Linked DNA regions of Tamandua tetradactyla. The protein of the gene in region 1 interacts with the protein of each later gene in a biochemical or structural test. Links are inferred from orthologs where the notes say so. Each region holds a gene or a part of one and is shown on either strand. Other genes may lie near its edges. The genes, in order: BNIP2 and ARHGAP1.

Region 1 (3,906 bases):
TAATTCCTGAGGGGTTCCTAGGTCAAGAAAATCCTGAAACTCAGGGGGACCAGCCTCTCCAAGATTATCAATTAATTACATCCCCCTATCCTTTAGTGTGTAGCCAGCCTTTCTCAAAATGAAAAATGCAGAACAGGCATTGCCCAAAGAGCCCTATAGTTCAGGAGAAGGTTAAAGGAGGAGTAGTTATAACAGAGAAAATAAGATTTAACAAACGAGTATGACTGCTAAGTCATTATATTCTTCTTCTAGCCTCCAGTGTTTTGAAGCAGCTAGAAGGAAAAATCTGAGATGGTGGAGTGGTAGCCCATGACAAACTCTGGGATCTATTCTGCAACTATTTGTTGAAGTATGCTTTGAAAATTGCTTTCTTTTCTTCACTTTATTTATTTTACAAGAAAAAATTTTAAGAAATACTTAATGCCAGAAAACTGTACACTTAAAATGGTTTAAGTGATTTTGTCATATGTATTTTTCCACACAATCAATGTTCAAAAAATGTGACAAAATGAGCACCAACTGTTGGAAAAATGATGCAGATAGGACTTGCTAGAGGCAGGGTTCCCACAAACCCTCAATTAGTAAAAAACAAAAACGCTGTATCTGCAAAGCGCAATAAAAGGAGGTATGATTGTACATAATTTCTGTAATTATAGTAATGATAAGCCAAAGGAAAATAAAAATGGCTCTTTGGGAGTTGAGGGACGCCTGCCAGCAAATAAGAATGGGCTGGGAAGCGCGTCTAGCGCTAAAGACAGCGCCAATGAGGCTTTAACTCTACCTTCTGCCCAGGAGAAAACCAGGGAGGCCCCTTGCGCATCCCCGGGATTCAGCCCGAAGGCTCGGAGTTGGCGTGGGTCGTGGGTCGGGTCGGCTTGAGTTTGGGGTGACCCTGGGGTAGTCTAGCAGACCGCCAAGACTCCGCCGCCGCCTCCTCGTCTGAGGGCTGGGGTGCCAGGAGAAGGTCGGAGTGTCGTCACTTCCGTTGTGCCCGATTTCTGCGTCCGGGTCAGGGCTACAGCCGTCGCCTCCGCCGCCACTGCTGTAGCCACAGTCGGGAGCCTGGGCCCTAGTCCGCGCCGTCCACCGAGCGGAGCCGGCAGCGTCTAGTACGACCTGGCCGTCAGCCGCACGTCGCCGGCCTGGAGAGACGAAGAGCGCGAGGGGGCCCAGGCTTCCTCCGGGGTGAGTGCGTTCCGGTAGGGGCTGGTAAGGTGGGCCTGGGCTGGAAACAGGCCTGGGGGGCGGAGGGTCTGAGTGGCGCCAGTCCACCGGCGCCTGGAGAGAGGAAGCGCGGATGGAGGGTGGGTATCCGTCGTTTAGAGCGTCTTTGAACCTGCCCGGAGGCGCTTCCCGGTCCCGCCCAACTTAGGTCCACGCCCTTGGCGCGGCTCCTGTTCACTTTTGCCACCCTTGCCCCCCACCCCTTTACTGTTTGTTTTGGTTGTGGTGCTCGGGTTGGGGCCTTCTCCCTCCCGGGAACCCCGCACCCACACACCCTGGTCTGCATGCGTGAATGGGCCACGTTGGTCCCGTGTCTATGACTGGTGACTGTCCTGATGCAGAACAAAGAAACTTGGACTGGTGCTTTGCCTTGTACCCTCGGGGAATGGACACGGAAGCGGCATTAGTAATTCCGGGACAAGCCAAGCCAAACATAGGGTGTGCACAGAAAAGCCAAGTCCCTGCCTGGATTCATATACTGTACGCTTTGTACATAAATACCCGGCGAAAAACAGATTGGGTTTCCGGGGTACATCTGATGCCACCAGGGATCAACTCTATCAAGTCATATAAAATTAAAAATTTGTTTTTTACTTTGTCACATTGCTATCGAAACTGCTCCCTTGGCTGCCAGGAACTATTTGAGTGCACAGCTTTTGCTGTGTTTATCTAGGTATTCACAATGCCCCCCCCATATATTTGGTTAACTGAATCCGTGCTAAGTGTGTGCTTTTCATCCCCACCACTAATTAATTAGGATCTCTGTTTCTCCTAACTCTTAATTTCTTTTTATTTAACTAATAAATCTTAACATACAAACATTCCATACATGACTTACAGTCAGTGGCTCATTATACTATCACATAGTTGTGTATCATTTTTTTATTATATCTGTATAATGCGTAAGAATAACCTCCAGGATAGCCTCTCTACTCTGTCTGAAATCTCTCAACCACTGAAACTTTATTTTGTCCCATTTCTCTCTTCCCGCTTTTGGTCAAGAAGGTTCTCTCAATTCCTTGATGCCGGATTCCAGTTCATCTGGGCTCTCTGTCCCATGTTGCCAGGGAGATTTTTACCCCTGGGAGTCATGTCCCACCTAAGGGGAGGGAGGCAGTGAGCTCACCTGCTGAGTTTGCTTAGAGAGAGGCACATCTGAGCAACGAAAGAGATTCTCTGGGGTGACTCTTAGGCCCAGTTTTAAGTAGGCCTAGCCTGTCTTTTGCAGGAAAAAGTCCCACAGGAATGAACCCCAAGATTGAAGGCTAGGCCTGTTGACATGGTTGTCCCCACTGCTTGCCTAATGCATAATTTCTTAATTATTTTTTAATGAAACATATTCTTACTCTAACATAAAAATTTCAGCAATTCATAAATGGGTGTTTCCTCTAAATTATAACAAAGTAGGTAGTACCTTACAAAGTAGTTTCTTGATCTTGTACATTTTCTCCTACTCTGTTTTTGTCGTTTTATAACCTTGATCTTCATAATCTCCTCTATTGCAACCCAATATTATAAGATTTAGGAAATCCAGTGGCAAATCTACTTCTACAAACGTGGAACTTGAACTAGATCAAGTTCTAGTTCAGGGGTTTTTATAGTCTATAGACTTCGCGGGACCTTTGAAGCTAGACTTATTCTGTGTAAAGTTGCAAGTGAACTGAAGGCAATGTGCTGTATTAGAGACAGTTCTGGACTGGATCTGGAAACCAGAGGATTAAACTTTGTAGTGTCAGTGCCTCATATATAAGATAAAATGGGGATAATAACACCAGTGTTTTATACCTCACGAAATTGTTGGTTGAAATGCATGTGATGATGAATGTAAAAATAATTAGTAAATGTGAAAAGCAGTGTTTGGGAAAGTGGTTCTCTTCTGTTCAGTCTGTCTGGGGTAATGCTGGTAGAATGAGCAGTGAGGGCGGAAAAGGTTTTGAGAAATACAATGTAGCCAGGTACAGTGAATCAACCTTAGTTGGTCGTAATAAAAAAATGTTTTGTTAAGTTTACATCTTATAAAGCACTGTGCTAATGTAATGTATTATTGTGATAGTAATATTCCAAAATTGTAATTTTTATTACGACCAATATTTTAAAACTGTAAGTGTTAGAGATCAGTTATTAGACTTTAAAAATTTCAGCCTCTTCTGTATGTTCTGCATTCTGATAATTCAGTAAATGTACATATTGTTCTCTTCTTTTGTGTTTGTGTATTAATGTCTATGGCAGAGGATTTGTCATCTCATGGATGAACTATTTATGCTTTGCTTTATTTTCACAGTTTGAGAAAACTCAGGACCATTCTAGTTTTTCTGTAAATTGTATGATAACATTCCTAATAGAGTATCTCATTGTACCCTTAAAAACCTGTGTGATCCTGGTTGCTCAAGTGTTTCAGCGGTAGAATGCTCGCCTTCCATGTGGGAGACCCAGGTTTGATTCCTGGACCATATACCACTCTCCCCCCCCCCAAAAAAAACAACTTATGTGTCCTCAAGGGAACAATGCCGGGTAAGCATTTAGGGATTTTCTAGAGGTGTTTCAGTGATCTTTGTAAACATATAGGCTGGTTTAAAGTATTTTCCTATGGTACTACCAATGGCCAACCTCATATGAAAAACTGAACATATTTAGAATTAAAATAATGAATATATTTAGAATTAAAACGTTTCATTTAAATGG
Region 2 (3,906 bases), on another chromosome or scaffold:
GTCCAACCCCAGAAGAGGCTGCTCTACGCCCAGTTGCATTCCTAGAGCCTAAAAGCGACATATATGGTCTGGGAGTCGGCAGTGCAGATGAGAACAGCCAGAGTGCAGAGGGGGGCGGGGGGGGGGGGAGAACTGCACAGCCGGCAACACCTCTGGGCTCTGCCACAACGTGACAGCCTCCTGCAGGCTCGCTGGAGCCAAGGTCTCTGGATGGCAAGCCTCTCCCTGTGCCTAGCAACAGCCACCCTGTTACCAGGGCAACGACACCCAACTGAGTGGTAAAAGCTTTTTCGAGCTTGCAAGCCAAAGCCAAGAGGCCAGACCGCCAGAGAAAACCCACTTCCTCCTCCTCTCCCCCCGCCTCACCTACTCTCCCTCTCCATGGCCCTTGCTTACCCCCAAATATAAGTCCTTTCCCAGGAACGCTGAGAAATATGCCCTCCTGTATTTGGGAGTGTGTTTCTCTTGGTGAGTACTATAGAGTCCCTCGCCCCTAAAGCCCGGCCCCACCCCACCCCACCCCACCCCACCCTGTCCCTCAGCACCCCCACGCAGGCCATGCTCAGCCTGTTCCCTCTACAGGCACCTCCCATCGAACAGAAGGTCGATGCCTGCTTCCAAAGGCACCCAGCTGGGTGGGCCGCAGGGACAGACTCCAATGCAAAACTACCCCCTCCAGGCCTGACCTGCTCCCATCCCTCCTGTGATCACTACCCGGGCCCCAAGAGCTCCTTCAGCCTTCCCCACCGCCGCCCCTCGGGCCTCTCTGTCCACAGTAGGAAAAGGCACAGGAGCATGGATATGGGGAAGTGGCAAATCATCCTGCTTAAGCCACTGCACCACAGAGATGCCGGCAGGTCCTTCTCTCTGGATCTCAGTTTCCTCATCCATAAAGTGAAGCCTTCTCCCAGAAATACAACGCACCAGCGCCCTAAAATGTCTGTGCTGAGGGGGACGCCAGGGTTAGGAGGAGCAGCTGGGAGATGACGGTGGGGGGGGGAGGGCAAGTACGCTGTCTACAAGGGAGCTGAACTCCAACTCCACCTCTGTTCTAGTAACTCCTCCTCTAGGCTGCCGGTTCATCCAGAACTGACCCCAGCCCCCACCCTAACAACCTCTTTTCCAACATAACTAATCAAGTTGTTTCCACTTCCCAGCCGGACTGGCCTCTCTCACTGCCCTCCAAATAGACGCTGTTGCCTTCTCTGAACCTGGAAGCTTAGTTCTCAAGCAGTGGGAGCATGAGGGAAGCTAGCGCAGGGAATTCTAACATACAGGGTGGAAATGAAGTACACAGCCTGCCTCAGACCCCAGCACTCGGGAGACCCGCCCAGTGAGTGCAGCACACTCCCTACTGGGATAAAATTTTCCCTTCTCTGCAGGTAAATCTTTACAAAAATCTTTGAGAATCACTTCAGACAGAGGTTTTGAAAAGTTCTGGACCTCTGAAAATCTAACGAAATTTGTGGTTTCCCTACGAAAAACACAGGCATGAAACTTTGCATGCAATTTTAAGGGGCTCACATACTCTCCGAGAATTCGTTTAAGAACCCCTGGCCTTATCAGAAGAAAGCCTGGAGGACAGGAGATGCTGAATGACAGAACGGGCTAGTTCACTCACTAAGTGGAGAAGGGACTCAGCATTGCTGAGGGCCTGAAAGACCCCTGCAACTGGACACATTTTACCTCTTTTAACTTACCAAAGGTGCAGTAGGTGATGAACTATTAAGCCCGTTTTACAGTTTGAGTTTAGTGAAGACCCCCACCCCCAGAAAATAATAATAATAATAAGCGTGCGGCTTGGCGTCCTACAGCCAGCAGCCAGGGTTTTAGTCTTTGTCTGGGGGGGTCGTCTCCCGGGGAAGGTCAGTCCCTCAACGAAGCGCTAAGACAGACTCTCAAGGTTCAGACGGAAAGCCCGGGGCACAAAAGGGCAAGCTGAAGCCCCTCCCCGAAGCTTCTCTCCGGCGAACAGGGACGGCGACCCGACCTCTCTAGCTTGGAGGGCGCCTCCTACGAGGAGGGCCGCCGCTCCAGGACAGCAAACCCGAGCCCGCCGCGATACACCCCGGCCTCTCGGGGGCAACCACCCGCCTACAGGGCTTCACGGCTGACAAAACCCGGGTCCGGGGTGACCGCCCCATTTCACAGCTGAGGAAAACGAGAATAGAGCGCGGCGGGGAGAAACTCTTCCCTCAAATGTCTTGCTCTCAGAGCTTCGCCACTGGGGACCAGGGAGACGTCCCCCTCCCAGCGGCGTATCCGAGGACAGCGGTCCGGCCTGGACTCTGCCCTGCGGACGGCCAAAGGAAGGCAGCGAACGGGGCGAAGTCTCACCACGGCTCCCGGATCAGATCCCCGCCGCAGGAAGGCCAGGCCGCCAGTCCTGATCCCACACCTGAGACCCCTCCTCAGAACCGCTCGGGCCCTTCCTGCCAGAACCCCAAGCCTTCGGATGGCCCCTGACCAGCTGCTTTCCTCCCCTTCCCACCTCACCCCCACCAGGGCGACCCCCGCGCCTGAGGCTCACCGCGCTCGGGCACTGCTTCCTCTGCCACGCCTGTCAAAGCTCGACAAACTTCCGGCCTCACGGAGGAACCGGAACCGCGCTCTCGGCTCGCCTCACTCCCCAAACACTTCCGCCACACCTCCAGCCAACTTCCGGCCTGCTGCCAGGTTCAAACATGGCCATCTCAAGAGCCCCGCCTACTTCCTGCACGTGCCTTCCCACGTACCCGCCAGGCAGGCAGGCAGTGGCACAACGGTCCGACTCTTCCTGCCCAACTAAAGGAAGCTGGAAAAATGAGTTCCTCTTCCTCGGGTACGCTAATCCCTGGTGGACCTCCGGAATCCTAGGTTGGTATTGTCCTCGGACAGAGGTTTCCTTCACGGATTCTCCCAAACTCTTGATCCTGTGCACCAATTAGGTCCGATCCTAGGATTCTTGCCTGGGAGGCACTTTGGCGGTAGATGTTTCCGGGAGGAGCTGAGAAGGCGACGCTCACTTCCGGCGGCGGGAGGTTGTCGACCCAGGATGGAGGAGGTGGAGAAGCTGCTCTTGGAGGGGAAGAGGCCGCGACTTGGTGAGCGCCCTGCCTATCAGCGGCCCTCGGGCCTGGCCTGGTCTGGGCCTGGCGTACTCTGGTCAGCTCTCTCCCATCCTCCTGAACCCGGGATCCTCCTCCAGCGTCTCACAGTCACCGGGGAACTCTCAAGAGCCCCTGAGCCCCACGGCCCCCTCAGCAACCCCCTCCCTAGAGCCTCCCAGATCGGCCAGGCCACGGAGGTCTGGCCGGGCCTGCGGCTTCCGTCGCATCTTTCCCTGCCCCACGCCCTTTGGGGCTGCTCCCTCACTGTCGGCTTCCCATCTCCCTGCAGCTCCCGAGCCGCGCCTGGGTCCGGATTCACGATGGAGCCCTCCGGGAGAAGGCTGCGCTCAGGGTCTCTGGGACTTCCCGCTAGGGCCGGTCGGAGTCGTTTTCGCGCTAAAGAACCTCCCCCGGGGCTTGGCCCTTGGCCCATCACTCGCCGTGGAGCAGCGCTTGGGGATCTGGTGTGTCGGGGAGCCCCTGCAGCCGGGACTGCTCTGGGGGCCTCTGGAAGAGGACTCTTTTTCAGAGGACAAGGGATCGAAATCCCGACAAGAAGAGGTATTGAGGAATAGGACTTCTCGCCTAATTGAGAATTTGGGGAGGTTCAGATATTTCCAGATAGCCAGCCCTCCCGTTTGTTGGAGGAGGCAAGAGAGAGAAGGTGGTTTTATTCCTTCTCTCCAGGAACGTTTTCCTCCCCAACTTACAGTGGCGAAGGAATGGTGCAAAATGTTGTTAAAGACTATTAGTATAGCGTTAGCATTGACGAAGGTCTATAGCAAAGGTGTTTGTGACAAAAAGGGATGAGATCAAA

What was found.
Region 2: the proteins of BNIP2 (region 1) and ARHGAP1 form a complex in vitro, tested with the Homo sapiens proteins (2 studies listed by BioGRID). The link is inferred for Tamandua tetradactyla from reciprocal best matches to the Homo sapiens genes BNIP2 and ARHGAP1.

Annotation. Positions count from the first base shown.
Region 1 is NC_135340.1:75,549,469-75,553,374, reverse strand, and holds the start of BNIP2 (BCL2/adenovirus E1B 19 kDa protein-interacting protein 2), read left to right. Parts: upstream 1-993; 5' UTR 994-1,185; intron 1,186-3,906.
Region 2 is NC_135334.1:123,409,827-123,413,732, forward strand, and holds the start of ARHGAP1 (rho GTPase-activating protein 1), read right to left. Parts: upstream 2,663-3,906; 5' UTR 2,531-2,662; intron 2,525-2,530; exon of another isoform or gene 2,338-2,524; intron 32-2,337; exon of another isoform or gene 1-31. Other genes in the region: ZNF408 (zinc finger protein 408), read left to right, coding at 2,685-2,856, 2,928-3,083, 3,379-3,650. UniProt on the Homo sapiens protein: GTPase activator for the Rho, Rac and Cdc42 proteins, converting them to the putatively inactive GDP-bound state. Cdc42 seems to be the preferred substrate.